4 linked regions of the Notamacropus eugenii genome follow. The protein of the gene in region 4 purifies or fractionates together with the protein of the main gene of each other region. This does not show direct contact. Links are inferred from orthologs where the notes say so. Each region holds a gene or a part of one and is shown on either strand. Other genes may lie near its edges.

The links.
Region 1: the proteins of PPP1CA (region 4) and RASSF7 purify together in Homo sapiens (affinity purification with mass spectrometry; 3 studies listed by BioGRID and IntAct, counting the BioPlex papers as one, with this or other methods). This does not show direct contact. The link is inferred for Notamacropus eugenii from reciprocal best matches to the Homo sapiens genes PPP1CA and RASSF7.
Region 2: the proteins of PPP1CA (region 4) and YAP1 purify together in Homo sapiens (affinity purification with mass spectrometry; 5 studies listed by BioGRID and IntAct, with this or other methods). This does not show direct contact. The link is inferred for Notamacropus eugenii from reciprocal best matches to the Homo sapiens genes PPP1CA and YAP1.
Region 3: the proteins of PPP1CA (region 4) and PFDN2 purify together in Homo sapiens (affinity purification with mass spectrometry; 3 studies listed by BioGRID and IntAct, with this or other methods). This does not show direct contact. The link is inferred for Notamacropus eugenii from reciprocal best matches to the Homo sapiens genes PPP1CA and PFDN2.

What each region holds. Positions count from the first base shown.
Region 1 is NC_092873.1:27,747,565-27,755,538, forward strand, and holds RASSF7 (ras association domain-containing protein 7), read right to left. Parts: upstream 3,017-7,974; 5' UTR 2,673-3,016; intron 2,411-2,672; exon of another isoform or gene 2,280-2,410; intron 1,984-2,279; 5' UTR 1,947-1,983; coding exon 1,844-1,946; intron 1,752-1,843; coding exon 1,090-1,751; intron 1,004-1,089; coding exon 749-1,003; 3' UTR 245-748; downstream 1-244. Other genes in the region: LMNTD2 (lamin tail domain-containing protein 2), read left to right, coding at 6,655-6,884, 7,079-7,231, 7,325-7,412, 7,640-7,795. UniProt on the Homo sapiens protein: Negatively regulates stress-induced JNK activation and apoptosis by promoting MAP2K7 phosphorylation and inhibiting its ability to activate JNK.
Region 2 is NC_092876.1:154,292,119-154,299,032, reverse strand, and holds the start of YAP1 (transcriptional coactivator YAP1), read left to right. Parts: upstream 1-3,906; 5' UTR 3,907-4,057; coding exon 4,058-4,387; intron 4,388-6,914. UniProt on the Homo sapiens protein: Transcriptional regulator with dual roles as a coactivator and corepressor. Critical downstream regulatory target in the Hippo signaling pathway, crucial for organ size control and tumor suppression by restricting proliferation and promoting apoptosis.
Region 3 is NC_092873.1:267,547,264-267,554,850, reverse strand, and holds the start of PFDN2 (prefoldin subunit 2), read left to right. Parts: upstream 1-4,622; 5' UTR 4,623-4,718; coding exon 4,719-4,811; intron 4,812-7,416; coding exon 7,417-7,505; intron 7,506-7,587. Other genes in the region: DEDD (death effector domain-containing protein), read left to right, coding at 366-742; NIT1 (deaminated glutathione amidase), read right to left, coding at 2,023-2,331, 2,484-2,609, 2,749-2,882, 3,204-3,307, 3,406-3,657, 3,974-4,084, 4,462-4,622. UniProt on the Homo sapiens protein: Binds specifically to cytosolic chaperonin (c-CPN) and transfers target proteins to it. Binds to nascent polypeptide chain and promotes folding in an environment in which there are many competing pathways for nonnative proteins.
Region 4 is NC_092873.1:19,860,425-19,867,320, reverse strand, and holds PPP1CA (serine/threonine-protein phosphatase PP1-alpha catalytic subunit), read left to right. Parts: upstream 1-3,970; 5' UTR 3,971-4,063; coding exon 4,064-4,118; intron 4,119-4,296; coding exon 4,297-4,428; intron 4,429-4,813; coding exon 4,814-5,044; intron 5,045-5,168; coding exon 5,169-5,273; intron 5,274-5,420; coding exon 5,421-5,644; intron 5,645-5,724; coding exon 5,725-5,859; intron 5,860-5,947; coding exon 5,948-6,058; 3' UTR 6,059-6,380; downstream 6,381-6,896. Other genes in the region: TBC1D10C (carabin), read right to left, coding at 1,266-1,365, 2,350-2,507; cell cycle checkpoint control protein RAD9A, read right to left, coding at 6,671-6,766, 6,889-6,896. UniProt on the Homo sapiens protein: Protein phosphatase that associates with over 200 regulatory proteins to form highly specific holoenzymes which dephosphorylate hundreds of biological targets.

The sequences.
Region 1 (7,974 bases), about 7.9 Mb from region 4:
CCCCAGGGGTCCACAGCTCTGGGTGTGACACCATCCAGGGACTTAGCTGACTATTCGTGGGGTGGGGGTCTGTGGCCGGGGCAGTGGGTGGGAGCTGAAGACAAGAGGAAGGTTGTGATTACAATAGACAAAGTGGACTGCAGATTTCCAGGGAGGGGAAAGAAGGAGGGAGAGGGTCCAAAACTGGCCCAGGCCTCAGGGAAACTCAGGCCTGCCCCACCCTTCGGGATACAGAGATATAACATACTTTAGGTGCCTTTATTCCAGGGGGATCCACACAGTGAGGGATGAAAGGACACTCCCCTGCAGGGATACACTCAGGCCCCCTCTCCCCCACTCCTGCTAGGAGTTTACTGGCCACATAGCAGGGGTCCAAGGAAGTGAGTTCCAGCCAGAGGAGCCTGGGCCAGCCTGTGGGACCATTGTCCTTCTGTCTGTAGGTCTTTGGCAGAGTGGCACCAAAACTCTCCTCCCAGCCCATATGTGTCTCTCCCAGTGATCCTTCACTCATCTCTGGCCAGTGCAGCACCTCTGGAGAAGGGAACCAGCTGGATAGTTGGGACATGGGTCCCCCAGCCTGGCAGTGACTATCTTCAGCACAGCCTCAGTGTCCCGTTGAGCTGCCTTTGAGAGAGAGCCAATGAAGCTGAGTGAAAGGAAGGTGCCAGACAGGCAGACACACAGGGGTTTTCCTCCGAGTCTTCTTCCTCGAGGTGCAGGGACAGCAGACTTACGTGGGCTTTGGGGCTCACGCTGGACATCTTGGGAAGGCGTGGGATGGGCTTGTTGGTGAGGCTGAAGGATCCTGCAGCAAACAGGGAGTGAGCCGAGGGAGCCCAGGAAGGGGGTGTTCCTCCTGGGACCCAGCTCCCAAGGTTCTCACCTGGCTGGACTCAGGGCCCTGGGATCGTGGGGGCAGTGCTGGCCCGGCCTGCTGGATGAACTGCTGCAGGTTACACTGTCGGAGCTCCCTATTCAGCTCTTCCACCTCCTGGGCCTGGGCCTGGATGGGTGGGAGAGGGGAGCCATGAAGAGGCCTGATCCCTTCCTTCAGGGGGGTTGGAAGGCGATGGATCAGGCTGGCCTCACCTGCAGGCTCTGCTCGGCTTCCGCCAGGGCCCGGCCAACGCTGGCCAGGCTGCTTTCTAGTCGCTCACTCTGCAGGGCCTGGGTCTGCAGATCTCTGTGGAGTCGGGCAGCGGCAGCCTCATCCTGGGGCCTTCGGGGGCCAGGCAGCTCCTGCTGCCGCTGCTGCCTTCGCCGCCAGCTGATTTCCTCCTCCAGGGCTCGGGCCTGAGCGTCCAGCTCTCGAAGACGCCGGGCGCACTCCTCAGTGGCCGCCTGCAGTTCCCGCACCCGGCTCTGGCGCTCCAGCTCCTGCTGCACTTCCCGCCGCAGCTCTTGGGCCCAGAAGCCCTCCTGGTCCAGCTCGGCTTCATTGCTCTGGACCAGGTGCTCCAGGCCCCACAGCTCCCCTTCTACGTCCTCCTTGGCTGGGCTGGGGGAGTCATGGGGGGCGGGGGGCAGAGGCCTGTGGGGAAGGCTGGCCGGCACAGGGAACCGCTCTGGGGGCAGACAGGGGTCTGAGGCAGGCCGTTCGGCAAGACTGGGCCCTGTGCGCCGCAGGACAAACTGCACGTCACTGGCAAACTGTCCGCATGTGGCCTGGGCCCCCACGGGGCACTCCTGGGGCAACATTTGCCGCTCCTTGTCTCGGAGGCGCTGGATGAGCACATAGCGGCCAGTCTGCCCTGGGAAAGAGGAGAAGGTGGTCTTGGGGGAGGAGCCCTGGCACCAGGCACCCCCCCCCCCCCCCCAGCAGCTCAGGGGCTGCCCCGCTCACCTAGGGCTTGGGCCAGGGCGATGACCACTTCTTGGCAGGTGGTCTGCTCCGAGACGCCGCAGACCACACGCTGTACTCCGTCCACCCACACCTTCAGCTCCATGGGGGCGGGGGCAGGGCCGGGGCATCCCCGGCGGGACCTGGGGAAGGAGGGAGGGGCACCCCTCCCCGTTCAGCAGGTTGTGGGGCGCTCTGGGCTCTTCCCCCACCCCCACACCCCGCTCCCCAGAGGGGCCCCTTAAAGGCCCAGAACTCTGCTCTCCACCCCAGGGGGGACCCAGGCCATTAACCCCTGCCTCCTCAGCCCGGCTCCCGTTTGGGGGGCGGGGTCAGAGGTCAGCAGGACCTCTGACCCCCGGCCCCCAGGTCCAAAAAAGCAGCGGCTGACCCTAGCAAAGGTCACCCCAGCAGGAGAACCCAACAGTTCAGAGCATACCGTCGGAGCCTCTCCCCGCAGATCCAAACCGACCAACCTAGCTCCAGCTCCGGCTCGGCTCGGTTCGGGCTCCGGCAACCCCTCCCCGCAGCCCCACGCCACGGCGTGATTGGCTGATTCTGCGAGCCCCGCTCCACCCAGCGCCCCTATTGGCCCTACGCCTGTTGTCCCGCCCCCGCCCCACCCCGGGCGCCCATTGGTCGCAGTGGTGAGCTCGCCCCGCGGTCCCACGCCTCACCCTTATTGGCCGGATGCCTGTTGCCCCACCCCACCCCACCTAGAGCTCCCGTTGGCCACTCACGGACTCCGGCCCCGCCTCACAGCCCTACGTCAGGCATCTATTGGCTGGAGAGCCTGGCTCCGCTCCCACGCCTCCAGCCGGGTCTGGTTTACCTGGTTGTCGCCCCGCCCCGCTTCCATCGGTCACAGGTATGGGAGGGGCTTGGTGTAGTCACGTGGTTCGGTCACCTCCCCAAACTCCAGGGGTCGTGGCTCGCGGCCTCTCGGAAGTCCGCGGTCAAAGTCGTCCTCCAATCCGGACGCCTGGGTCCCCTTGCCCGTGGCGTGGGGGAATGGTTTTCTCGTTGCCCGGTTTGTCACTTCTGACCTTTGACCAAGCCACGACTTGTCCGGAGGAACTTGATTTCCGGGTACCTGTTCGGAACGGTGGGCCTCACCTCTCCGTCCATTGGTCCCTCAGCAGCCGACCCGCCCCTTCTTTGCCGTCCTCCCATTGGCTTTTGTCTCATCTCCCACCTTTCCTACCGCTCCCGCTCCCGCTGCGCGTCACTGGCTGTTGCCTTGAAGCTGAGTGGGGGCAAGGTGGGAGAGGTGGGACAGCGGCGGGGGGCGGAGCTTACGGCGCGGCCGCCGCCTTCGGTCTGCGCACGCGCGGCTTCGGGCTCGTTTGGATCCATTTGTCACAGTAGCCATTGGCGCCCACGTGGTGTCCTCTCCCCGCGAATTATCCTGAGGCCCCGCCCGACACTCCTGGCGGAGCGCCAGGGCTTGTGGGACCGGCCGGCGGCGCGTCTCAGACGCGGTTCTTGGGTGCTGGGTGGTGGGGGAGGATGAGGGGTCTCAGAAAGGGAAGAGGGGAGCGAGAGGGGCCTGAGATGGAGAGGCAGAGGGGGGCTGGGCAGGGGAGGTGTGGGGAAGGGGCGCTGCGAGAGGGCTGGAAGAGGGGTTGCGCACTCATCCTGGGGGGCATCACCCGGAGCGGCTGCCCCTCTCCAAGGCTACTCGTGGGACCTCGAGGTGGAGGGAGAGGAGCCTCAGACCCTGTGCTAACACGGTCCAGGGTGTTCAGGGAGGTCCGGCCGCTGGCTCCCAGATGCTGTGGCACGTGGATCCGCCCCACTGAGGGTAGAGGTAGGGGGTCGTCTCCCCCAAGCACCTGAAGACTTCCCCAGGGGAATGGGCAGACAGGAGCAATCTGCCCTGAAGGCTGCTGAAGCAGGCGCTGCCGAGTGCTTGGGTCTGCCTTGACTTTTGTCGTGCTGTTGGACTCTGATGACTCTAGAAGAGAGAGTGAGTGCAGCTCTACTTCACTGAAATGCAGTTCAGGCCAAGTGAAGACATCACCCCCCCCCAACTGCCTTCTATAAAACCCCAGCTCAAGCGTTACCTCCTCCACGAGTTGTGTGTGTTCGTCCTTCCTTGCTGAAGAAGACCACCCATCGGAGAAATGATGACATGACTTGCACTGGACTTTATGTTGAGTGAGGGAGGACTGTGCAGGTCACCAGCCTCACTTCTCCTCCAGAGCCATCTGAATCCAGTGACCAGATACTCATCAGTATGACTGGACATGACCCAGGATGAGACAGCTGGGGTTAAGTGACTTGCCCAAGGTCCAAGAGTTAGAGGAAGAAGGAAATAAGCATTTATTAAGCACAGTCTGCCGTGTGCCAGGCACTGTGCTAAGGGCCAGCCCCTCTCCTCGATGTACTCCCAATTTAATGGAGGTGACAACCTGCAAACACTTGGGTATAACTGAGCTGTAGACAGGCCCCGTTGGAGACAGCGGTGAAGGCACTATATATGTATATACTGGATATACTTTTTTTCACATCCAGATTATTTCCCCTATTAGACCTCAACCCTTTTTTATCTTTGGAATGGTATCTGGGGCTGATGGGGTACAAGCCCAAGCCGAGACCTTTGTCTCTTGGAGTGGGAGGGTTTTGGTCCCATTTGTCTGAAGGGCCTCGGAAAGCCTGGCCTTGGGGGGCTCCTTGGATTCCCCTTACTTGATTTAACATTCTCATGATTCCTCCCTTCCTGCCACTTCTTAGCATTCTCTTGAGGTCCCAGTGGCCCAGCCAGGATTGTGGATTGTCTGGACTGTGGGCCACTCCCATCAGGATCCTCCCTGGGTTTGATTTATATTCCAGGCTGACCTCCCCTGTCCAGACTATCCCTGGGACCTGAGACTGCTTGGCAAAATCTGGATTCTCCCCTCAGTCTTTTTCTGTATTTAAGTGCCATCTCGCCTCCATGAAGGTGCTTAGATTCAATCCAGCTCAAACTGTCTAGCTGAGATTCTATCTGGCCTGCTTGTGAATATAAGTGTTACAAATACTTAGGCTCCTTAAGAGTCAACCCAATATGTTGAATTTTTCATAAACGTTGTTTTTCTTTGGCTTTAAGAAGGCTTGTGTTGAATTCTTTTGAGCAGGACCTGGCTTGTTGGTATTTTGTGGTTCCTAGCACCCCAAACCTCAACAGTGTGTAGTAGGTGCTTAACACATTTGCTGATTGCTGAGGACAATTCAGTGGATGTATGGTTTTCATTTTTTAGCTCTCCCCAGGGAAAGGGAAGGGTCCCAGCATCGTAGGACACATGGTTGACAGAGAAGCAGGGCACTGCTTTTGTTTTCTTAGCCAAAGACTGCCAACCTTAGGGCTGCAAGAAGAGACCCCGACTGGACCAAGGCAGCCACCTTGATTGAGGCACTATCCTGCTCACCACAGTGCCTTTTCTAGACAGCCCCTAGTCATTCTGATGCTACTGGCTCCATCTGTGTATGACCTACAAACACGCCCCCAACCCTGGAAAAAGAACCTCTTTCCTGATCCCTACCGTCTCTAGCTGCCCCTACCCCCTTCTCTTTTTCTTTTTGTGGCTGAATTCCTGGAGAAAGCCATCTACAACCAGCATTGCCACTCCTCACTCTTCTGTTCACATCATTTGATTAAATCTGCCCTCCTCAAGTCACCAATGATCTCGTAAATGACCTTCTACCCTCAGACCCCCTGGCACTTTCTCATCCCCCAGCCACCTCTAGGACTAACGACGAAATCTTTTTTGGCCTTAAAAGCATTGTCTCTTTCTTCCTTACACTCTAGGGTCCAGGGGCACTGGCCAGCTTGTGTTTATTCCATTTCTGGACTCTGCCTTTGCATCTCCAGCTTCCCTAGCTAGCTTCTTCCAAGTGTCTACTGAAAGACCCCTTTTCGGATGGCCCTTCATGCTTTGAGCTTCTGGCCACTCATACAAAGTTCGTTCTATGTTGTCCCCCCTTTAGACCAGGAGCTCCTTGAGGCCAGGGACTCTTTTCCTTTTCTTTGTATCCCCTGGGCTTGGTGTGATGCCTGGCACATTGGAGATGCTGAATCAATTCTAGCTGATCCATCATCACGTCTCTAATGGTTCTTCCTGGGTGGCTGTGTCCTCTACCTGGCTGCTCCCCATGTCTGGAGCCACCTCTGAGGAGACCCAGCAGAGAGCAGCTCTAGCTGGGGGAGGGACAGTTAGGGAAGGAGAAGGGGGGAATCTCAAACAGAGGAGATTCTTGCTCCTCCAGACTTCCCCAGAAGAGGCCAAACTGAGCAGGCTGGCCCTTCTGCTGGTGAGCTCCCTCTAGGATAGCCTCCTTCTTCCCAGTTCCACCCCTGCTAGAGCCTAGTGTGCCAGAAGGAACAATTGAGGCATATGAAATGCTGGAGCACAAACAGCCCCTCCTTCTGGGGCCTTTGGGGCAGGAGGTGGCTCGTAACCGTGGAAACAGCAACAAAGCCTGGGCTCCAGAACCCTGAGCTCACAGTCTGCCTCAGGTGAGGGGGGAGGGGTAGTTGCCAGAGCTGGATAATTGAGAGGGAAGATTGACCACCAGCAGCCTCTGGTTCAGTTTGGGGGGGAGCAGAAACCTGAAACTCTGAGGCAGTTTTCTCATCTGTAAAATGGGACTAAGGAATCCTGCCACGCCTCGCTCCACTAGAGCTGGTGGCATCTGGGAGGACCCCCAGGGATTGGGACACTATACAGGCGGCTGGAGAGTCTGTCCCCTCTTCTGCTCCGTAGGTGGGCACCTCTAGTCGGCTGCAGCAGCCCAGCCTGTCTCCCAGGCGGCTCCCCCCAGGAACACCAAGGATGGCTGGGCAGCCTGTGGAGCAGGGGGGAGATGCCTCCTCCAGCCTGGAGCAGCTGGGAAGTGACTTGGGACAGGGGCTCCAGGTCCATGACCCCTCTTGGACCATCTCCTGGCCCTCCTTCATGTGGAGCAGCGACTTCCTGGAGGCCACAGAATCCGGAACAATGCCTGAAGGTGCCAATGGCAAGTTGTCTTCTGTCTCCTTCTTGATGTCTCCCAACAGCCAGAAGTAAGAGCCCTAATGGAGGGTCCAGGGGCCGGGGCAGGGAGTCGGGGGGGACACCAGGGCTGGAATGTAAGGCCTCTGCTACTGGGGCTAGAGTCCAGGAGGTCCCGGCTGAGCATTCAAGGCCAGGATCGTGTCCAGCTCTGGAACCTGGGACCAGTGCCAGGGTTCAAGGGCTACAGATATGGTGGTTACAGTTGCCGTTTGGAGCACCTGGATCCAAAAGTCTTGAGGCTGCTGCTGGCTCAAAAGGAGCTGGAAATTGAAGCTCTTCGGAAGGCTGCTCAGTGTCCATCTGGAAAGCGGATGACTTACATTCTCCATGAGCTGACAGACTCGAAGCCAGAAAGGTCTGTAACCCTCAGGGCCCCCTTCCCCATCAGGCTTCTGTCCCCTCCCTGTGTACCTTCCTCCCACACACCCCTGCTCTGACCTTCCTACAGGACCTCCCGGGAGCAGATCAAAGCCTTGCAGCAGCAGATTGACAAGATGACTCAGGAGCTGAGTGCCCAAAAGGAGCAAGCCTGCCAAGTGTGTCTCTTCTGTAGGCCTGAGGCTCCTGAACCTGGACCAACCCTCCCACCCCAGTCTGCTGGGCCTGGTACCCCCCCACCCCACCCCACCCCCGCCCCCAGTCTGCTGGGGCTGGTGCCCTCCTCCCCCCAGGCTGGCTGCTCTCTCCAGGTTGCAGAGTTGTTCCTCCCCCTGGGGCCGCTGGGCCTGGGGCTCTGCAGACCCTTTCTCATCTCTCCCTATAGGAGAAGACAGAGCTGGAGAATCAGCTTCAGGAGGCCCATGCACGCCTGCGGTGCCTGGAGGATGAGGTACAGACCTTCCAGCGGTCATGCCTCTTGCACCTGGCCCGATCCTCGTGGGCTGGACGTGTGCTGCGCTCCCAGACAGGCAGTGTAGAAGTGAGTGAGCTTGGCTGGTCACCCTGCCCAAATGTGCCTGCTTGGGAAGCTGCCCTATCCATCTTCCCTCCCCCCCAATCCCCTTCCTCTCTCCCATGCTGGATCTAGTGACCCTTCTGTGCAGTCCTCAGACAGCCCTTCCTCTGGCCCTGTGGACCACTCCCTCAGCACTGCAGCCC
Region 2 (6,914 bases), on a different chromosome or scaffold from region 4:
AGTCATCCTGATGAATATCTGGTCACCGGATTCAGATGGCTATGGAGGAGAAGTGAGGCTGGTGACCTGCAGCCCTACCTCACTCAAAACAAAGTCAAGCGCAAGTCATGTCATTATTTCTCTGATGACATGGTCTTCTTTGGCAATGAAGGACGAACACATACACACCCCACCTAGTTGCCTGTCAGTGATGGAAGGCATTCATATTTCAGTAATGGATTAAACTAGATGATTTCTGAAGTCTCTTTCTCTTATGATTCCATAACCATATGATTTTAATATTCATACTTCTTCATGAGAGTTTTAAAAATATCTGCATCCTCTGGAAGAACCTCATTAGGTTCTTTGATATCTTTCTCTGGCATTCTTTTCCTAGTTTAATTTACTTATATCTCTGCTGCTGATTCTGATGCTTATTGGATCAAAATACTGAAATGAGACACTGGGGGAGGGCTATCAGAATCTGTACCTGTGATGCCATCAGTTTAGGGAGTTCCCAGTGTGGAAACTTCCTCTACCATTGTAGATCAGCCACTCATTTGTAATTTATAGTTTTAGGGAGCTGCCTGGAGACTGGGAGATAAGTAGCTTGTCCATCATCATGGAATCAGTCTTATAGATTTAGAGTTAAAGAGGATCTCAGAGGACATCTACTCTAGCGCCAACAATTTACAGATGAATAACTAAAGCACAAAGATTTTAAGTAATTTGCTCAGGGTCTCACAAGCAGTAAATGGTAAAGCCAAGATGAAAGGCCACACCTTCATTTTAAATTCAATAGTTCTCTCTTTCCTTACATATTCAGTGAGAAAATGGGCTTAAACTACAGTGGTAAATAGAACATATGTAGAGGATGCATGTGGCAAAGAGTTAATTCATAGTTCCTGGTTACTGAGTTCTTTTTCCCTTTATGGAATCTCCAAGAAATTTCCTTTAGGTCTTTGTTGAGTTCCAAGTTTGTGTTTTGGTAGAGTCCATAGCCTTTGTTTCTTTTTGCCCCTAATGGGGCATGATTTCTGAAGTTGACTTTCTTAACTGGTCTGTCCTTCTACATCCATCTGCAGGTGCTTCCACTGTCATCATCCTTTGCTATCACCTCTGATGGACCTTGTCATCAACTTTATGAGGTCCACTGGGACCTCAGATGGTTCTGAACCTTCCAAGGTCCCAAGGCTGTAACCTGGTCAATTCTGTCTTAGGACACATACATTCACCAAGATTAGGGAAGAAGAAACACAAAAGGAAGAGCAGCCATGAACTCACTATCACATGGCCAGGTGGGGGAATATACCTTGCTGCCATTCCAGTACAAGGCAGCTCTCAGCAGATTACTCCTTTTGTATACACATTCACTTCTGACTCAAACACTCATGAGTCATCAGTCCTTCTGGCTCCTCAGTCAGTCAGAAGACTTTTTGTCACCACACAGTTTACTCAGTCACTCATAGCTACAAGTAGTACCCTCAAACTTTAGAAACAGACAGAAAATATGCTTTAAGGACTGAATTCTGTCAGGAAATATCCACATCTCTCACAAGGACTTGGATTTACAGACATACACATACGTACAGTAAATTAACAAATTAATCTTTCTGGGAATCAGCTTCAACTCTCCCCATTACTGTTAAGCCATCCCATCCTCCTAGTCACCCAAGCTCACAACCTTGGTGACATATTCAACTGCTCTCTCAAAATGTATCCCACATATCCAAATCTGTTCTCAAGTCTTGTTTCTATCTTCACAATATCTCTCTTAGAGTCCCCTTCTCTTCACTCACACAATGCTCTGGAGCAGGTCCTTTTCTGCTCAGCCTGGGCTAGCTACTTCAATAGCTTGCTGACTAGTCTCAAGTCAGTCCTCATTCCACTCTTTCTTCCACTCAGATGTCAAATGGATCTTTCTAAAAGAGCAGATCAGACTCTGTCATCCTCTCCCTTTAATAAAACTCCAATGCTTCTCTGTTATATTCAGGATCAAATAGAAAGTCCTCTGTTTGGTTTTTTTAAAGCTCCTCATAACCCAGTCCTTTTTTACCTTTCCAGTTTCCTTTCATTTTATTCTCTATTAACTCTATGATCCAGTGACACATCCCTTCCCCTACTTGGCTGTTTCTTCACCTGACTTGGTACCCTTCCCCAAGCTATCCTCCATTTCTGGAATACTCTGCCTCCTGCTTTCTTTCAAGACTCAGCTTAAAGCCCACCTCCTAGAAGAAGCTTTTCCCATGTCTCCTTTCCATCCCCCCCTTCCCTCTGAGGTTCCCTTTAGTCTGTATACATCTAGTATGTACAGCTGTTTACACGTTAGCTTCACAAGAAGGTGAGGGTTTTTTGTTTTGTTGCCCTTGTGTCCTCAGATCTTAACACAGTGTTTGGCATATAGTAAATATTTAATTAATGCTTGTTGACTGACTGCCTGACTCATCTAAAAAAGGAGCACGCACAATGACCTAGATGGCCTGAGGTCCTGGGAGTTCTAAATCTAGGATCTTACAATTATTCTCTGCCTCTCATTTATATCTTGGGAAAACAGATTTTAAAAAAAACAACTCATTTCTTTAAAGCACTTCCAGACATTGTTTCCCCACAGATTATGCCACAACCACACTGTAGGTTTATTGCATGGGGAATAGTTACAAAAAACTATACAATGTAGCGACTTTTACAATAAAGCGTTTTATAACAATGTCACAGGTAGGGTTAAAAAGTTTACACAATCCCTCAATCATAAAGAGAACTCTGCTTTCATCTTCTTTTTTTTCCAGAAAAAGTAGCTTTTTAGAAGTTGAACTGAAGTTCCATAAGCAAAGGGTACATAACTTCTTCAATAAGCATGTAAGCACCCCCCAAACTACTTTTTCCCCCTTCAATAGATTATCCAGATAATTTTCTTAATCTATAACTTCCTTCTCTAAGGCGTGTAGACACAAGTTAGGGAAAGGCAGTCAGTGAACATAGGAAAATTCAGTATTTTTGTTTATAAATGACCTTTACTCAAAACGTGGAAGTATCCATAAGGACAACCTAGTGCCAGCCTGGCCTGTTTTATGAGTAGCAGCAGTGATCGCTTCTAGACTCGGGGCTGCTGCATTAACTTTTTAATGCACGAAGGGCTCGGAATCAGGGCAGTTCTGGGGCTCCTAGCACTTGAGTGATTGTACAAAAGCAAAGCGAACACCGTCAGTAAGAAGAAGGGCTGCGTGCTGGAGGGGAAGAAGCGGAAGCGGGTGGTCTGGGGGAGCGGACCGCACCAGGCACCCGAGGATAGCCGGGAGCTGAGAGTAACCTTAATCCCTGGAGGGAAGGGGACCGAACCTAAACGCAGACCTGGCCCTTCCACCGCAGCAGCGCCGAGAAGCGACGGCCCGAGTTTCTGTCCCTTTAAGCAACCGGGGAGGATTAGGGTGAGGGGGAGATCTCCGTGGCTTGGTGGTCACGTGAAGCAGGGAGAGAAGTTGGAGGTCCCGGAGGTGGCTGGGAAGGAGGAACTTCGGGGGAAAGTTTTTTTTTCTTTTTCTTTCTTTCTCTCTCTCCCCCCCTCCCTGGGCGCGGATTCGGGGCGGGCGGGCGCGCAGAGGCAGGAGGAGGCGGAGTCGGCGGCCGGCTCGGGAGGGCCGTTCTCCCAAACTTTAGTTTTGGTGTCCGCCGAGAGTTTGGGTCTCAGTCGGGCGCAGCCGCCGCCGGGAAAAGAAAGGAAGGGAGGGAGGAAACTGAGGGAGAGAGAAAGAGGAGAAAGGGACGAACGAGCCTGAATTCCGCAGAGGGAGTTGAGGGAGAAAAGTTTTCCGGCGGCTGAGCCACTCCCGAAACTTGGGAGCGGCGTCCGGGGAACAGTCCGGGGGCCCCGTGGGGGGGGGGGGGGGCAGAGGGGATGCGGCCCTGGCCCGCGGACCCCTAGCTCGGAGACCCGGAGAAGGAGGAAGGAGAGGAGGCCAGCCCAGCCGCCTGCGCCTGCGGGGCCCCCCTCTCATTCTAGTTGCGGGTCCGAGGCTGTCCCGGACGGGCGGAGCCCTCCCCTCTCCGGGTTAGGGGGTGGGAAGCTCAGGGTGGGAGAGCCATGGATCCGGGCCAGCAGCCGCCGCAGCCGCCCTCCCAGGGCCAGGGGCCGGCTCCGGCTCAGCCCCCCCAGGGTCAGGGTCAGGGACCCCCGACGGGCCCTGGGCAGCCGGCGCCTCCGGGAGCTCCAGGCTCCCAGGCTGCGCCGCCGCCCCCCGCCGGGCATCAGATCGTGCACGTCCGGGGGGACTCGGAGACCGACCTGGAGGCGCTCTTCAACGCCGTCATGAACCCCAAGACCGCCAATGTGCCCCAGACTGTGCCCATGCGCCTCAGAAAGCTGCCCGACTCCTTCTTTAAGCCCCCGGAGCCCAAATCGCACTCCCGACAGGTAACTTCACGTTCCCTTCCCCCCTCCTTGCCCTTGTGAATCCCTTCTCCCCCCCTCGCGGGGCTCGGGGGACCCAGGGAGTCTGGGCTGGGGGGGCGCCTTGGAAGCATGGCCCTTCTGGCTGGCGGGGACGGGCTGGTCCCGGGGGCTCTCAGGGCACTGAGGAAGGGGGTGGGAAACTGGGACTACGGGGCCCGGGCGGCGGGGGGTGAGGGGAAGTCTCTCCCCGACTGACTTTCCCCCTCCTCCGGCCCCTCCCTGCGGCTGTTCTGGGCTGAGATTTTTTTTTCTCTTCTCCCCCCGATCCCTGTGTTCCCTTGAAGTTCTACACAGTCCTGGGGGTTGTCGATTTGCGGGGCTTTGGGGAGGCCCCCTTTTAACTTCCTTTCCCCCTTTTTTCCCAGGTTGGCGGGAGGAGTTGGGGGGAGGTTTGTGGGGGGCGGGGAGGGGAGGAGAACGAACTGGGCAGGGGGGGGTGGGGGTGGGGAAAAGTTGCTGAGAGCTCTGTGCTACTTGGTGGGCTTGCACAATGCAAGCACCTCCCCTCCCTCCGCACCTTCCTTCCTTCCTTCCTTCCCCTGCTGGACGGAGGGGGAGGGGGAGGGGGAGGGGGAGGGGGGAGTCTGGCATTTCGTGTGTGGGTGAGTTGCCAGCGGCAGCCTAGTTGGTGAAGTTGAGCCCTGGGCCCCCCTCTCCTTGAGGGCCTCTCGGTCCGCATCAGTCTCCTGGGGAGTCAAATAATTGTTCTCTTGTTTTCCAACGTTGATTAGGGGGTGGGGGTAGAACCAGTCCCTTTAGTTTCTTACTCTTTCTCTGGCTCTCCGCTCTATCTGCCCACCCCCCCCCCCCGCCCCCCCCCAGGAAAGCATTTATTTCCGTCCCTCTGAGTTTTAGCACTTTTCCGAGCTACGAAACACAACTTCCACTTCAGAGACTTCCGAGACTTTTCCTGAAAGTTGTTTATGGAGTGAGCCCTGCCCCCCTCCAGCACTTTTGTGCCTTAGATCGTTAGTTCTTTTCACTTTTAAAAAGTTAGTCGCATTAAGTAGTTTTAGAAATTCACTCTCCGGTGAAATGCTTTTGAATGAGCCATTTTTGTTATTTGTGAAAGATTAGAGTTGCTTTTTACAACTTTTTTTTTTTAAACACAGGCAGCCTTTGATAATGCTATACAGGTTGACTCATGAAGTCCAAGTATGATTAAAAGTTAATGTTTGGGAAGCGATGACTAATTCTAGGATAGCCATTGCTTTTTCATTCTTCCTGGGGTTGTGAACATGGCTGCTTTTAAATATTCGCCCCATTTCATTATAATATCGTTTAGGAGATTTTCAAAACCAAAAACCTCGGAGGTGCTTTCTTCTGGAATCAGCTATATGTTAATTAAATTGCGGTGGGTTAAAAAAACACTAAACATCTTTTCATTTTTTGAAATAACTTGTTAGGCAAAAACTTGGCATAGGATTCTTGTTCAAAATCTAATTTGTTTTCCAAATACTGCCTAGTAGTTGGGCTTTGAGTAACTAATTAAAGAATATCTCTCCCACTCCCACTTCCCATTCACATTAGTTTAAAACAGTCTACAAGAATGCAGTAGACATGGGCCTTTTTAGAGTCTAAAGCTCTCTTAAGCCTCTGGACAACTGGGGGGGAGGGGCTTCTGGTAAAGAGAAAGAAGGAAAAAGTAGTTAATAGCTATATCCCTCCGTAGACAAACTGAAAAGTGGGATTGGGGGTGCATCTGTGAATTCGTTATATAGATATACAGGTACGCTTTAGCAAGACTAGCTGACAGTTAAAACGTCCAACAGAAACTATAAAATAGATTCCCCATTTTAGATTTACCCAATAAGAACTATATATTAAAAGGAAATGGAATTGCAAATGGGTATATCTTCCAAATATTATACCAGTATATAAGAGCCAGTTAAATAGATGCATTGGCTTTTCATAATCCAAAATCATTAATTGGACCCCAGGAAGATTAGTAACTATGTGCCCTGAATTTTCCTTTGTCTTGTTGCTACTTAACATACCAAGTTTTCTTGATTAGTTCACACTAATCGTGAATGGAAATACAAAGGCAAGTTCTGATTTAAGGCATATGTTGTATCCTACTAATTTCTTCCTTTCATTGCCCATAGGAATTTAAGAAATTCCAGGCACTGAGTAATCTTTCATAACTTTTACCTGATTGTAATCTCTGATCAGTTTCAAACTGTACAATGTTCCTTGACTAACTAAATTAACATTTTAAACATCCCCTACTTTTAGAACTGGAAGGGATCTTCACGGTCCTCTACTCCAACCCTTCATTCTACAGATGAGGAAACTGAGTCCAGTGAGATTATAACTCAAGCTGTTGTAATGCCCTCATTATTTAGGTGCAGAGATGTGGTAATAACTGTTTAATTTAAATTCAGGTTCAAGTGTGGATTTTTTTAAACTTGTTAATGAATTTTCTGTTGTCAGAAACAATGTTAGCATTGTTTAAAAGTTGTTTTAATTGTGATGCTTTATTGATTGG
Region 3 (7,587 bases), about 250 Mb from region 4:
TTCTTCTTGTCCAAGGTGGAGAAAAGGAGTTAAATTTATGCAATTGAGGCTAAGTCTGTTTAATATAGAAAAAGCTCACCCCCATGTCCCCAAATGAAGTTTGATTTGGAGGCGATATGTTTTTACTGTGCCCTATTACTAAGAACTCTTTCCCTTCACGACCTTTTCCTCTTGGCCCAAGCATGGGCTCAAACAAATTCAGAGTATGTAAAGGAAATGCCAAGATGAGACAAGTATAGAGAAGTCATAGCGGAACTCTACCCTGGAGAAGGGTAACTACCACCTTACTGTAGTGCCTTGGTCTGCCACCCCTGTCACTTTTCTAACAGGGTATGGCCTAAGCACTCACCTTTTCTTTCCTGTAGACATCAGGCTTCGGGTGAGGGCTGAATACTGCCAGCATGAGACAGCTCTGCAGGGCAACGTCTTCTCAAATAAGCAGGACCCACTTGAACGCCAGTTTGAGCGTTTCAACCAGGCCAATACCATCCTCAAATCCCGGGACCTGGGTTCCATCATCTGTGACATCAAGTTCTCTGAGCTCACCTACCTCGATGCCTTTTGGCGCGACTACATCAACGGCTCCCTCCTGGAGGCGCTCAAAGGTGTCTTCATCACAGACTCACTTAAACAGGCTGTGGGCCATGAGGCTATCAAGCTGCTGGTGAATGTGGATGAGGAGGACTATGAGCTGGGCCGACAGAAACTCCTGAGGAACTTGATGTTGCAGGCACTGCCCTGACCCTCCTCTCACCTTTCACAAATCTGGGTCCTCAGCTCGGCACCCATCTCTGGAGTTCACACACTGTTTGGGGTTTTCTCCACACCCCTCCTGTCACCTTTGCTCCCCCTCCCCTTCTTTTTTAAAGGAAAAGACAAAAAAGTGGAAGTGGTGTGTCTCCCTCCCCCTCTTCCACCCAGACTGCCACAAGCCTGGGCAAGGAAGGAAGCAGCAGTCTGATGTCAGAGCCCTCTGTGGAACCGCTGCTGAAGTTGTTTGGGGGGGGGTCAATAGGAGGCTCTCTCAATTGCCCTCCAGCTTCATGAGGGCTAGTTATGTTTTGTTTTGTCTGAGAAACCAAAGGGCTGTGGTGTGGGAGCTTGCTGAAGAGGTAAGAGCCAGGGTTGTATCATGGGAATTTACCAGCACATTCCCTCCGCCCTTCTGAGAATAACACTTGTAAAGGTATGGCCTCCTCACTTGTTCACTCCTGGCCCTGGTGCTTCCCTTCTTCTCCCCCCATCTCCCAGGGACAGAGATTAGGGGCTCTTCCTAGTCTGGGTCCCTCATTTACCCTGTCTGCTCCTCTTCTAGGAAGCAGTGAGAGGGGAGGCCTGGGGCCACCCAAGAACCCCTTGTCTGTGTGCGCTGTGCACAAGTGCCTGTGTGTATGCAGGATGGGGAGAAGGGTTGCTGGGAGCACACACTCCCTGAGAAAGGGGCGTGTGGCATTTTTCCTTCCATGTTCAAGTGAAAATAAACGTATCCTGCAGCCCATTCCCATCTCATTTGTCGTTTGGCTTGGGGTGGACTCGGAGCTGGGATGTCCCCTTGAGCTTTGTCTGTCTCAGTATAGCCTTTCCCTTCCTGGGCTTCAGTGCTTGAATTGCCACAGTTCCTTCTCAATCCTAGGACCGGGCTGGGATAAAAACTAATTTGTGCATTCATTTTGAAGAGTTATGAACGGGCCCTACTTGTTACTATTGTCTAGTACGTTTGATGCTACATTGTTCCCCTTACCCTCAAAAGAGATGTCGAGACTTGGACTTCAGGACTGTATTTTTTTCATTGTTAGTGCTTAGACCTTGGTGTAGATTTAGTTTTCATAATTGTGATTTAAGAGCCCATCTATATGTAACTAAAGTTTGAGCCCATAAAAGCATTTTTTTGGGGCTTTACAACAGGCTGAACCTGTATGCCGTAAAGGAAAGGGAGTAGAGGCTCATCAGCGGCCTGGGGTCCTGCCTCCAAGCCACAGATCCTCACTGGCCCAGAACAGGACCCAGTTCAGTCAGCAGGTGTCAGGGGTCTGGGCGACCCAAATTACCATACAAGTCAGGTCTTCGGTGCTGGGCCACAGGCATACGCTGGCGTATCTGGTGGAGATAGGCCAGGTCAATGTGGGCAAGGCAGAGGCCTTGCCCCTCAGAACAGCGTGCTATCACGATGCCCCAGGGGTCCACCACCATACTGTGTCCATAACTCCCTCTTTTTTCATGGTGCTGTCCCCACTGTGCTGCTGCAACTACATAGCACTGTGTCTCAATGGCCCGAGCTCGGAGCAGCACCTGGTGGGGGGGAACAAGAGTGGATGAAATCAGCTTCAGCATCTGGAGGAGAGAAATAGGGAGTTAGAGCAGTGACCTTTGGAAGCAAGGATTCCCCCACTCAGTCCTGAGAGACAGTCAGAGGGAGTCAAGAAAGAAATACAGCATTTCTGTTCAGTTGAATACGTAGGTACTAAATATTGGTAGGTCCTTACCTCCCAATGGGCTGGTCCCGTAACTGAGCCAAAGGCTGAAGGGTAGGTGAGAATTTCAGCACCATCCTGGGCCAGTGCAAGGGAAAGCTCTGGAAAACGTAGGTCATAGCAGATTGCCAGACCTACCTGGGATGGAGGAAAGTAGAATACTTAGCTTATCTGGTGCTGGCCACTCTGATATAGTATTCCACTGTCATTTTGCCCCCTTCTACATATTCCCATTCCTTTTCCCCACTTTAACTTCCTCCCCTCCCTCCCTGCCAACCTTGCCAGCTGGTGTACTGACAGGGGACCCCAGAGTGGGCCCTGGTATAGTAGAGGTGCTCTCACACATGGGTCCCTGTCCTGGAAGCTTCACATCACAGAGGTGTGTCTTCCTATACGTGGCCACAATAGAGCCTTGGGAGTAGAAGAGGAATACTCTGCTGATGATTTTATATCCCCCAGACCCCAGAGAGGGAACTTCTTATGAACCAGAGGCACAAACATTATGTCCACAAGGTGTATGTGTTTTGGGGGTGTGGGAGGAAGAGGAGGAGGAACAAGAGGGAGCAGAGGAAATCTAACTGGTAAATGGCCTTGAAGGCTTGGTAAATTGTTTCCAAGCACTCTGGGCAAGGAAGGTGGAGGGAGTGAGGTTGGATGCTGAAAACAGGATTCTAGGAATGCAACTCAAAAGGGCAGGAGAGGACTGAGAGGGAGTTGGGGACAAAGTCTTACCCTCCTTGTCCAAGAGAACGTGACAATTATAAATCCGCTGACTCTGCTCCCAGTGTTGGCCACGTTCGTGAAAACCACCCAGAGATAGCCAGATACCACATTCCCTGTAGAGAAAGCAACAAACAACCCTTCTCGGAACCCCGTCTCCACCACAGTCAGCGGAGCCTACTCACCCACAATGCTCCTTTGCTGCCTTTCATACCTGGCAAGTTGGGCATACCGATTTACAAGATCCCCACCCAATGGCTCCGCCAGCCTAAGTGTCTCCGCTGAGTCCCGACCAATGAAGTCGAAGGCCTCGGGCAGGAAGACCAGGCAGGCACCCAACCTGGCAGCCTCCTGAACCAATCCTGAACAGGCTGCAAATGTCTGTTCCTTATCCGGCGTGGACGTCACCTGGCACACCGCTACCAGGGGCAAACCTCGAGGAGAGGAGCCGGCCATGGTCCCAGGCCTGTGAAGAGCAAGATCCAGGCGTCCCCAAATGGAGAAAGTGAGAGCTCAAAAGAGAACCGGGCATCTTCTCCATACATGATCTCTGGCCTCTGACACACCAGGAAAACCAGCAAACACATTAGACAAGGCTCAACTAGCTCCAGCTCTTGTCCTGACAGTGCCCCTACGTAACCTTAAGCAGTCCCTCATCCTTCCTGGGCCTCCGCGGGCGGGGGGTTAAATGAAGTGCTTGGTAAACTAGGAAGAGCTAGATGTGCAGATAGCGGGTCTTCCCTTTGCCCGCTCCCACCTCGAGGAGAGGCCGTGGGCTTTACCTGCTGCGCCCAGTGCCCGCCTGGTCACTGAGGAGGGAGATGCCAGGCAGCCTGAAGGCAGAGCGCAGCAGGAACGGGCACTTTCTTGGCAGCCCGAGGGTGGAGCTCAGCCTGGAAGAGAAAGGTTCGGGGGTCCTCTCGCCCCTTCGCTGCCCACAAGGCACGTGACCAGTCCCGCCCTCCCGCCCCGCCCCTCTCGTAGCCTCCTAGCCGCGGGCCGCCAAGCCCCGGCAGGTGGGGGCACGGCCCGCTGCTCGCCTTCCGCTCTCTCTTCGGAGGGCATAGGTCACTTACTGACGTAGGACAAGTCTCTCCCTCCCGATGCCGGGAATCCCTGAGGGCAAGATAGCGATGCCCGCCGCGTTCCACGCGTGCACTCACTCTCCGGCCCCCGGCCCCTGCCCCCGCTCCACCTTTCCTTCCTCCCCCATCCTCCCGGGGAGGGACGCCCTGGTGCAAGCAGAGGAAGCCCCAGACCAGGATCCTACATGGAGCTGGAGCCCTGGAGACTGGTGTCCGCAGCTCCTCCTCGCGCCTCGAGCCCAAAGGTCTTGAAGCTTTGAGGCCATAGGGCACCCGGAAATGTCAGGGCCCTCCCCTCCCCCCCCCCCGACGGAAGTGCCCCTAACCAAGATGGCTCTCGAAGCATCAGGATCCGGAGGAGTCTGGGACGGAGACGTCCGGATGTGACGCACCGGGAGGCGAGCCCTGGGCTTCTAGGGCCCAAGCTAGCGGGCGGGTGAAGATGGCGGAGAGTGGCAACCGGGCCAACAAGAGCGGTGGTAGCGGCAGCAGCGGCAGCAGCGGCGCGGGCAAGGGGGCGGTGTCAGCGGAGCAGGTGAGCTTAGCTGCCGGTACGCCGCCCCGGCTCCTGTTGGGGGCCGCGGAGCGGGGCCCGTGGCACGTGCGGTGCCCCCTGCCGCAGCCCGGGCTCGTCTGGGGCCCCCTGTGCGGAGGGGAGACGGGGGGTGAGTGTGGACACGACGGGGAGCTCAGGGTGGGGGAGCCCCTCGTGACGGGAGCTTGGGGGCCCCATCCGTGACTAGGAGCCCGGAAGACGCCGATCGCCGGAGTCTCCCCAGTTTTCTGTGACTGAGCGGGGGAGCAGACCCCTCCCTGTGAAAGAGCCGTATGAGGTCTGAAATCCACCAGCCTGGGGAAGTGCCTTGAGGTGCCCCGGCCCTGGCTAGCCTGAGCTCCAGGCCCGCCCCTCCTGCGGGGCTGCAGGATTGACCTGAGAGCCGAGCCGGAGCGACTTCCACCGCCTGAGCCCTGCAGGGTTGTGTTCCAAGATCCCTGTTCTTGGAGGACCGCGAAATTGTACTGTGCCTGACCACGGGCGCAGTGTAATATGTGACTTGCACTTTCTTCTTTTCCTTTTTAAAAAAGCTTGCAAGTGAATATTCTTAAACACTGGCATGACCATGGCAGTCAAATTCCCTGCTCAGTAAAGTCCATTGGCTTCCTATAATATCAAATATAAAATTTAATATGTTGTCTGTGGCTTTTAAAGTCTTTTGAAACCTGGCCCCCCCTCCTAACTTTTCCATGTAGTCTGGCATTCTGGGACATGGGCCTTCTTGCTGGTCTATCTTCTGCCCCTCACTTAGAATGCTCCACCTCATTACCTCCACTTTCTAACTTTCCTGGCTGCTTCCAAGACTCAGTTCAAATTCCACCTTTTGCTGGAAGTTTTTCCCTGCCTTCCCTCCCCTCTTCCTTCTGGGAGAACTTCCATTTCTCCTGTATGTATATATGTTTCATGTATATACTCATTTGGATCTGGTCATCTCTGGCCATGCCAGAAAACATGAGAACAGTATGGTATAAGGAAAAGAGAAATAGAGAATTATACATAAACATTTGGACAGGAAAAGGAAAAAAAACAATAAGTAATTTGTAGATAGGATTTCTGGGAGCAGTATTTTGCATTCCCATGAGAGCTAGTGTTGGATTATTTTGCTTCTTAACTTTGCAGCTAAGATTTTGGGTAGCTGGTAAAAGTTTTATCTTTCTATACAGAAATGGCAAAATTCTCTAACAGATTTAAATGGATTCACTTTGGTGCGGCATTGGATTCAAAATTCACCTCTAACCTAGAAGCATCGCTGGCCTTCAGTTAACAAGAGTAATTTTGTTTTTTAAATATCTAATTCCCCTTAGTTGTTTTAACCTCAGGGATTCAGGGATTGATTTTATTTCACAAAGTAATACATTTTGAGTGTGTGCTCAGGAAACTTCTATCTTTTCAGGTGAATCTCCTCCTAAGTAGGTTCCATCATTTGCATTCATACAGGAGTCGCTTGGATGTTGTTGGAGTTCAAGTTGATCAGTCATTATTTGTTAAGCATCTACTATGTGTCAGACACTGTGCCAGAAGCTAGAGATTCAACAAAAGTCAAACAATTCAAATTTCTGTTCTAACAAGTTGACAGCATATACTTATATATGTTGATATAAGAAACCTTGGGGAAGTAAGGTACAAGGAATTAAGGGCATAAAGAAAGACATTATGCAGTAGATGATGATTGAGCTGAACCTTCAAGTAAACTTGGATTCCAAAAGTGGGGAGTGAGTAGAGAGTGTTTTCCAGGCATGGGAGACAGCTAGTGCAAAGGCATGGAGAAAGGGAACAGTGTTACGTGATGAGCACCAAGAAGGCCAGTTTGGCTGGATTATAAGAGTATATGGAGGGGAATAATGTACAGTAAGGCTGGAAAGGTAGGATGGGGCCAGATTATGAAGGGCTTTAAATGCTAAAAAGAGGCATTATTGAATGAGGGTAGGAGTGTGCCACGTTGTCACAACTGAACTTTAGAAAATCTCATTGGCAGCTGTGTGAAGGATGAATTTGAATGTTGAGAGACCAGAAGTAGAGTGACCAAGTACAAGGTAATTTTATTGAGCAGCAGAAGCCACTGGAGGAGTTTAAATAGAGGTGAAGCAAATACTGATATACTGTATAGTGAGTGAGGCACCAGAAGTAAGGAATTCTGTACGGCTAAGGTAGTAACTGTTCCATTCTCTGGATGTGAAAGTACAGAAGGAAGGAGGTCTTGTTCAGAAAGATTATAGGGAAGAATAGATTTGGCACTGAATTAATGATTAGGTCGGGATTTGGGCTACTCTTTCTCTTCTAGTTTATAGTCTCAGCCCTAAATAGTAGGTACAAAGAGCAAAAGCCCAGAGAACAGCTATATGTGGAGGGTCCATCTGTATTTGCTCTCCTAACGTGTACCAGTATAAGTACTTGTCCTGGCCATTGCCCTGTATTTTCTTTGGTAGAAATCATCCCTTGAGGGAAGACTACTTTAGACAGGGATAAACAGGGCCAAATTGGGACCCAATTTGTACTTTTCTCAACATTTAGGTGACCACCTAAGGAGCCTGCTCTTGCTATCTTCCGTAGAGTTTTCTCCCTCACTTCATCTCTTCTCCCCTAGGTGGTTGCTGGCTTCAACCGCCTTCGGCAAGAACAGAGAGGCCTGGCATCCAAAGCAGCTGAGCTGGAAATGGAGTTGAATGAGCACAGGTGAGAGGTCTGGGGGAATAAGGAAGAGTTGAGGTTGAGGGGAAGTCTGTACTTTGTTGGGGCTGTACCCTCAGACCGTTCT
Region 4 (6,896 bases):
GGTCTAGAAACTGATGCTGAGTGATCCTGCTTGTGATAAAGGACTTCCAGGTCGGGGAAGGGTTAGAGGTAGAGGCCCTGAGGTTCAGCCCCTGCCTCTCCCTTATCAGCCTCCTCATCTCTCAATTCCAGAGACTCTACTGGTCCTTGCCTTGGGCCCTGGTGCAATTCCCACTCAACACACACACACACACACACACACACACACACACACACACACACACACAGACACACACAGACACACACACACACACACACACACACACACACACACACACACACACACACCCCTTCTCCACTGTTCCCTGTGAAAGGCACTGAAGGAAGTTGCATAGTCCTGCTGCCTGGACCCATGACAGTTTCATCCTCTCTCACTGTTACACATTAATCCTTTCATTTTGTCCTGACTGACAACTCACTCTCCATACAAGCTTCTTTCTTTCAGCCCATGTCACCCTGGGGCTCCCAGCCTTTTTGGGTCCCTGGAGCCCTTGACTTTCAGGAAAACTTCCCACATCTCCAATTCCACAGTCTCTCCTTTCACTTTTTTCTTAACTCCTCACAATCTAGCTTCTGACTTTCTCATTCCACGGAAACTGCCCTCTCCAAAGTGACCAATGATCTCCTAACTACCAAATCCTGGGCCTTTTCTCCATCTTGATTTTCCTTGGCCTCTGCAGCTACTGGCACTGTTGATCACCATCTCCTCCTTGATTGTCTTTCTCTCTAGGTTTCTGGAACACCCTTCTTTCCTGCTTCTCCTCCTCCCTCTCTGAACTCCCCTTCTCTGTCTCCTTCCCTGGATCTTCCTCTAGATCCCACCCTCTAACCAGAGGGGCTCCCTCTGGCCTTTGTCCTGGGCCCTCTTCCCTTCTCCCTCTGGACTGCTCCACTTGAGGATCTCGTCAGCTCCCATGGATATAAAGACCATCTCAATGTGATGATTCCCAAATCCACCCATCCTGTCTCAATCTCTCTGCTGACCTCCAATCTCCCAGCTCCAGCTGCCTTTCAGGAACCTTAAACAGGATGTCTAGTAGATGTCTTAAACACAACATGCCCAGAACAGAGTTCATCTTTCCCTCTGAACTTTCTCAACAGAGCAGAATATTTCCACTGCGACTTTTCTGAAACACCATCGGCCTGGGAATTCTGTCTACCAATGAAATCTCCAGTCCCTCTTTCTATTCCCAGGGCTCAGCACATAGTGGACACCTAAAAAAAATGTTCACCGAATGAAATGGAGGCCCCAAGTGGGGCCCTCACCTTCTTGGCCCGCCTGGACATGGTCTTCTCCCAGTGAGCCGTCATCTCCACCCACTTCATTTCTCGTTGCCGGATCAGCTCCAGTGGGGGTTGCCCTGGGCTATGGGGTCAGACAGGACAGGGTCCCCAATGGTCACTGTCATCTCCCTTCTGTCTGCAGACCATGGCAGGGGGAGGGGAGCAGCTAACCTCAGTCTCTTGTTGTCACAGTAATGGGAAGGATGTGGCTTGGAGTGTGGTCGGAAGAGGGAGGGGGTATGGCCTAGTTCCCCCTCCCTGCTGGGCCAGCTCAGAACAGAAGCCAAGAGAGCTCAGAACTGGGCAGCCAAAGGCAGCAAAGAGTGAGGGGGGCGGGGGCGGATAGGTGCTAGGAAGCTGCTTGTCTGTTTCTGGCCCACTCCAGGCCTGACTGTACCCATCCCACAGATGAGTCTCTCTGGTTCATGGACTTTGCCAAGCACAGAGAGGGGGCTGTGCTCTCTGCTCCTGAGTGGCATGGTTTTCCCCCAAGACCCCCTTCACCAGTCTCATCGCTGGGCCCAGCATACATGCCCACCCCTAAGCCCATCTCCTTTAACCACCCAGCCCCATTAGGCTTTGCCCAACTCTTGCCTGTCTATGCCTTTATCCAATAACCTCTGCCACACTTCCCAAAGAGGGACAGATTTGAGTAGGTCAAGTGTTTGTGTTTGCCCATTTTACAGATGAGGAGACTGAAGCCCAGAGAAGTCCTTTCCTCTCTCTAGTCCTTGGTTACCTCCTCACCGGGAAGACCTTTGAACGTCCCTTCCCACTCTAAATCAAGGGTCCTGTGATCTTCTGACTTCCAATCTCTAGCCCCCTCCCTTCCCAGCTCCTCACCTGACTTGCTTTAGCTAGACTTTCTCTACATCCCTCCCCCAGCCTCTAACCCTAACCCACTAGACTCTGCCTACTCTGGATCAAAAGAAACACTGAATTACATGCAACCCCTGAGACTCAGATGATGATTACATATAGCCTGACCTCACCTGGATCCCCAGGATGTCCCCTTCCCCAGATATGTGACTGAGCTAGGCTTCAGCCCTCCCACTGCCCAGCTTACCCTGCGTCTGAGGGCTTGGCACTGCCCCCAATGAAGCCATAGCGGTCAGCCCTGCGGTAGGGTCCCGGACCATTGAGCTCTGAGTCTGAGCCAAGGGAGCTGGAGTCATCCTGGATATCAGGGGCCTGGGCCAGGTCCTCCCCCAGGGCGGCAGCCATGGATGGCCTGCCCCCTGCTCCTGCAAAGAATCAGAAGCCAGCATCCCGGGGTTACCAGGAGGTCGCTGGCAGCCCCCAGGCCAGGTTCAACCCAGCTTCGTCCATCCTCCTCCTCACCCCCAGGCCCAGACCTGAGCTCCCCCTCCTCAGCTTACACCTGACTCACCTCAGACCGCTGCTGCTTTGCTCAGCCCCTCTTCTCACCTCTGGGGCGCTGGCGCTCTCTCACTTCCTCCCCAGAATCATTTCCTCCTTAGCTGGGTAGCCCCTGGGGTGGGGGTGGGGGCCCACTCTGCCCCTCGCTTTTTCCTGCCCTGACCCAGCCTCCTGCCCCCCACCTGCCTTTCCTTCTTGCGCCCCAGGGATGGCTGGGCTCTCCCCTGCCCCATCACCCTTATATCCAGAGGGCCGACCCCCCCCCCCAACCTTGCCGAAGCTGCTTCTGCGGGGTCTCTCCTCCCTCCTCACATAAGGAAGCCCTGTGCAGTCAGAAGCCTCCGACTCTCTAGGACTCAGTTTCTCCCTTTGTGGTTCTGAATCTGACAATCTCATGGCGCGGCCTCCAGCCCAGGATGGACCACGGGTGGGCTTCCTCGGACTTCCAGCTCCCACGTGGGGGCTGGTCCTGCGTGCTGGCCCACAGCTAAGCGGGAGCCCGGGGGGCAGGGACGGCGCCACTGTCCAGGGTCCTGGAGAGCCCGAGGGCTCAGAAGGCGGCCGAGCGTTCCCGGGGGGGGGGGGTCCCCTGCTGGGAGGGTCCCCCCAGGCCTCCCTTCCTTCCAGCTCCACTTCCCTGGTCTTCCCTCGAACTCCCGCCCCTCCCCCCTCATCATCACCACCACCACCAAGGCGAACGTCTCTGTAGCGCTCTAGGGCTTATAAAGTCCTGACAGCCCCATTTTAAAGACTAGGAAACGGAAGCAGGCAGAGGTTGGGAGAGCAGCCAGGGGTCTAGGGCTGGGGAGGAACGGTCCGAAGGCATATTCGAACCCGCAGCTTGAAGGATCACCGTGGGCAAAGCGCCACCTCGCGGCCCATTTCCCTCTTCTTTCTCGGCCCCCTCTAGGCCCCGCCCCTCTCCCACCACGGGCCCCGCCCACTCCCCCTTCCAGTTCCCTCTTCATTTCCTGGTCCCGCCCCTGTTCTCGGCCTCTTTTCCGGCTCTGGCTGGGGCCCCTCCCTAGCCCTCCTCCTGCTTCTTTTCCTCCTCTTGTCGGGGCCGGCTCTTGACTCGTCGGTCCCACCCCTCCCCTCCTCCTATCCGGGCCGCCGGCTCTCTCCCGGTCCCACCCCTCGTCTCCTCCTCCTCCTATAAGAGCCCTCCGATCGCTCACTGGTCCCGCCTTCCTCCGCCACCGCCGCGGCTGCTCCCCTCCCGCCCGGAGGGCGGCGCTGTGGCGCGCGGCTCGGGGCGGGGCCTGGGCGGGGGCTGAGGCCGCGGGCAGAGGGCGGAGGGCGCGGCGGCGGAGGCGGCGGCGGCGTGAGCGGGCGGCGGGAGCGGCGGCGGCGGGCACGGGCCGGAGGGACGGAGCCGGGGCCCTCGGGGCGGTGCCGCCATGGCCGACAGCGAGAAGCTCAACCTGGACTCCATCATCGGGAGGCTGCTGGAAGGTACCGGGCGGGGCCCGGGGGCCCGGACGGGGGCGGCCGGAAGCGGGGCCGGGGCTTCGCCGGAAGTGCCCGCGGGAGGGGAGGGTGGGGGCCGGGCGGAAGTGCGGCGGGGGCGGGGGGCACCCGGGAACTGGGGGGGGGGGGGCGGGGGCAGGCGGTCTCTGAGGCCTGTGTCCAGTGCAGGGCTCCCGACCCGGCAAGAACGTGCAGCTGACGGAGAACGAGATCCGCGGCCTGTGTCTCAAGTCCCGGGAGATCTTCCTGAGCCAGCCCATCCTCCTCGAGCTCGAGGCACCCCTCAAGATCTGCGGTGAGACCCCCGAGGGGGGCGGCCGGAAGTGCCCGTACGCCGGACACGGCCTCTACAAAGGCCTGGAGGTGGGAGATGAGTCTGAGCCAGGGCGCCCTCCCACCTCTCGACCAGCCCCTTGTAGGGTTTGGGCCAAGCCTCGGTGGTGCTTTGCACCCTACCCCCTCCCCCAGGGCCTAACAGGGTCAAGACGGGGCCAGTGATTGGCTGCAGTGGGAGCTGGGCACCCATGCCCCACTCTCTGAGCCCAGGACAGTTGCCTTCCCAAGGGGGATTTTGAATGGAGCTGGAGTGGCCTGGAGGTCCTTCCCTCCCTGGTCTGGGCTCTTCATGAGTCCAGGGGGTCATTGGCCCACCCTGTTCACGGGCTCCTCTCCCTACGTAGGTGACATCCACGGCCAGTACTATGACCTGCTCAGACTGTTCGAGTACGGGGGCTTTCCCCCGGAGAGCAACTACCTCTTCCTGGGGGACTATGTGGACCGGGGCAAACAGTCCCTGGAGACCATCTGCCTGCTGCTGGCCTACAAGATCAAGTACCCAGAGAATTTCTTCCTCCTTCGAGGGAACCACGAGTGTGCCAGCATCAACCGCATCTACGGCTTCTATGACGAGTGTGAGTGGGGGGTGAGGACAAGGGCGGACGGGTAGTTGAGCCCTTCTCAGGGCTAAGTGGGGGGTCAGCCCCCAGGGCTCATTAGCAGCCTGTCTTCATGGAGCTCCCTCTCCTTCCCTCACAGGCAAGAGACGCTACAACATAAAGCTCTGGAAAACCTTCACGGACTGCTTCAACTGCCTGCCTATTGCAGCCATCGTAGACGAGAAGATTTTCTGCTGTCACGGGGGTGAGGCTTGGTGTGTGGGGCACTGTGACCCTGGGGCTACCTCCCACTTCTTCCAGAGGGTGGGAGGGTCTCCAGCCTGGGGTAGGGGAGTGGTCACCCACCAGGCCAGTCAGGGCTGAGGGGCTCAGAGGAGGCCGCCTTCTCCAGGACTGTCCCCAGACCTACAGTCCATGGAGCAGATCCGGCGCATTATGAGGCCCACAGACGTGCCGGACCAAGGGCTGCTGTGTGACCTCCTGTGGTCAGACCCTGACAAAGACGTGCAAGGCTGGGGGGAGAATGACCGTGGCGTCTCCTTTACTTTTGGAGCTGAGGTGGTGGCCAAGTTCCTTCATAAACATGACCTGGACCTCATCTGCAGAGCACACCAGGTCAGGGACTGGGGCTAGGGGCAGGACGACCTGGCCCGGCCCAGAGGGAGGGATGCTGACCAGGCTTTGCTTTGGCCCAGGTGGTAGAAGATGGTTATGAATTCTTTGCCAAGCGGCAACTGGTGACCCTCTTCTCTGCCCCCAACTACTGTGGTGAGTTTGACAATGCAGGCGCCATGATGAGTGTGGATGAAACCCTCATGTGCTCTTTCCAGGTGCGTGAGCCCAGGGCTGGAGAGGGAAACTTTCTGGGACCAGCCTCTCCCCAGGGCAGCCCATCTGACCAGCCCTATCTCTCCGCAGATCCTTAAGCCAGCCGACAAGAACAAAGGCAAATATGGGCAGTTTAGTGGCCTGAATCCTGGTGGCCGCCCCATCACCCCACCCCGTAACTCTGCCAAGGCCAAGAAATAGCCGTCGTGGGCATGACTGATTGTACAGAAATCCTGGCTCCTCCTGGGGTCTCTGACATCCAGGAGAGCCTCTAGTTGCAGGGAGCACCAAACCTTGGTGTAATTTTCTTTTATAAAACAAAATCAAATAGTCTACTTCCCTCTAGCCTTGCCCTGTTCTCCCTCTAGCGCCCCATCCTGGGAGCTGGATCCTGGGTGGAGGAGCTGGGGAGGGAAAAGGAAGGCCCCTCGGAGCAGGGAAGAAAGCTTGAGTCCCATCTGGGCTCAGCTGCTCTGTGCCCTTATCTGGTCTTTTTTGAATAAATGTCAAAGCTGGATTCTCACTGGCCTATTAGCCTGCCTTTTGTCCAGAATGACGCATGTCTGCTTCAGGATTGGGAATCTTTATTGAGGAAGGAGGGGTTGGCTGTGGTGGCCAGAGCAGAAGCAGAGCCAGCGTCCGCTTCGGGCCCAGGGTGGAAGTGACCAGGTTCTTCCATCTCCATAGAGACCCCCATCCTCCTCAAGCACAGTTCAAGTCTTTTCTGACACAAAGCAGGCAGAGGAGCAGACTCGCCAGACGCTGCTCCTGAGAATGTGAGGTGGCCCAGCTGCTGCTGTCCCTGAGAGCCAATCAGCCCTCTCCCTCACTGTCTTCTGCTAGTACCGGGTTGGGCTCAGAGGGAGGTTCTGTTGGGGCCAACACTGAACCAAAGAACAAGGAACGGAACTAGAAGCAGAGAGAAAAGCAGCACTGAGTACAGGCCGCCACCAAGCCAGCCCACAAACCCAGGGCAGAACGCACCATCTCCCCACACCCCACAGGGAGCAGACAAGGGACCATTTGTTCACCTTTTTCA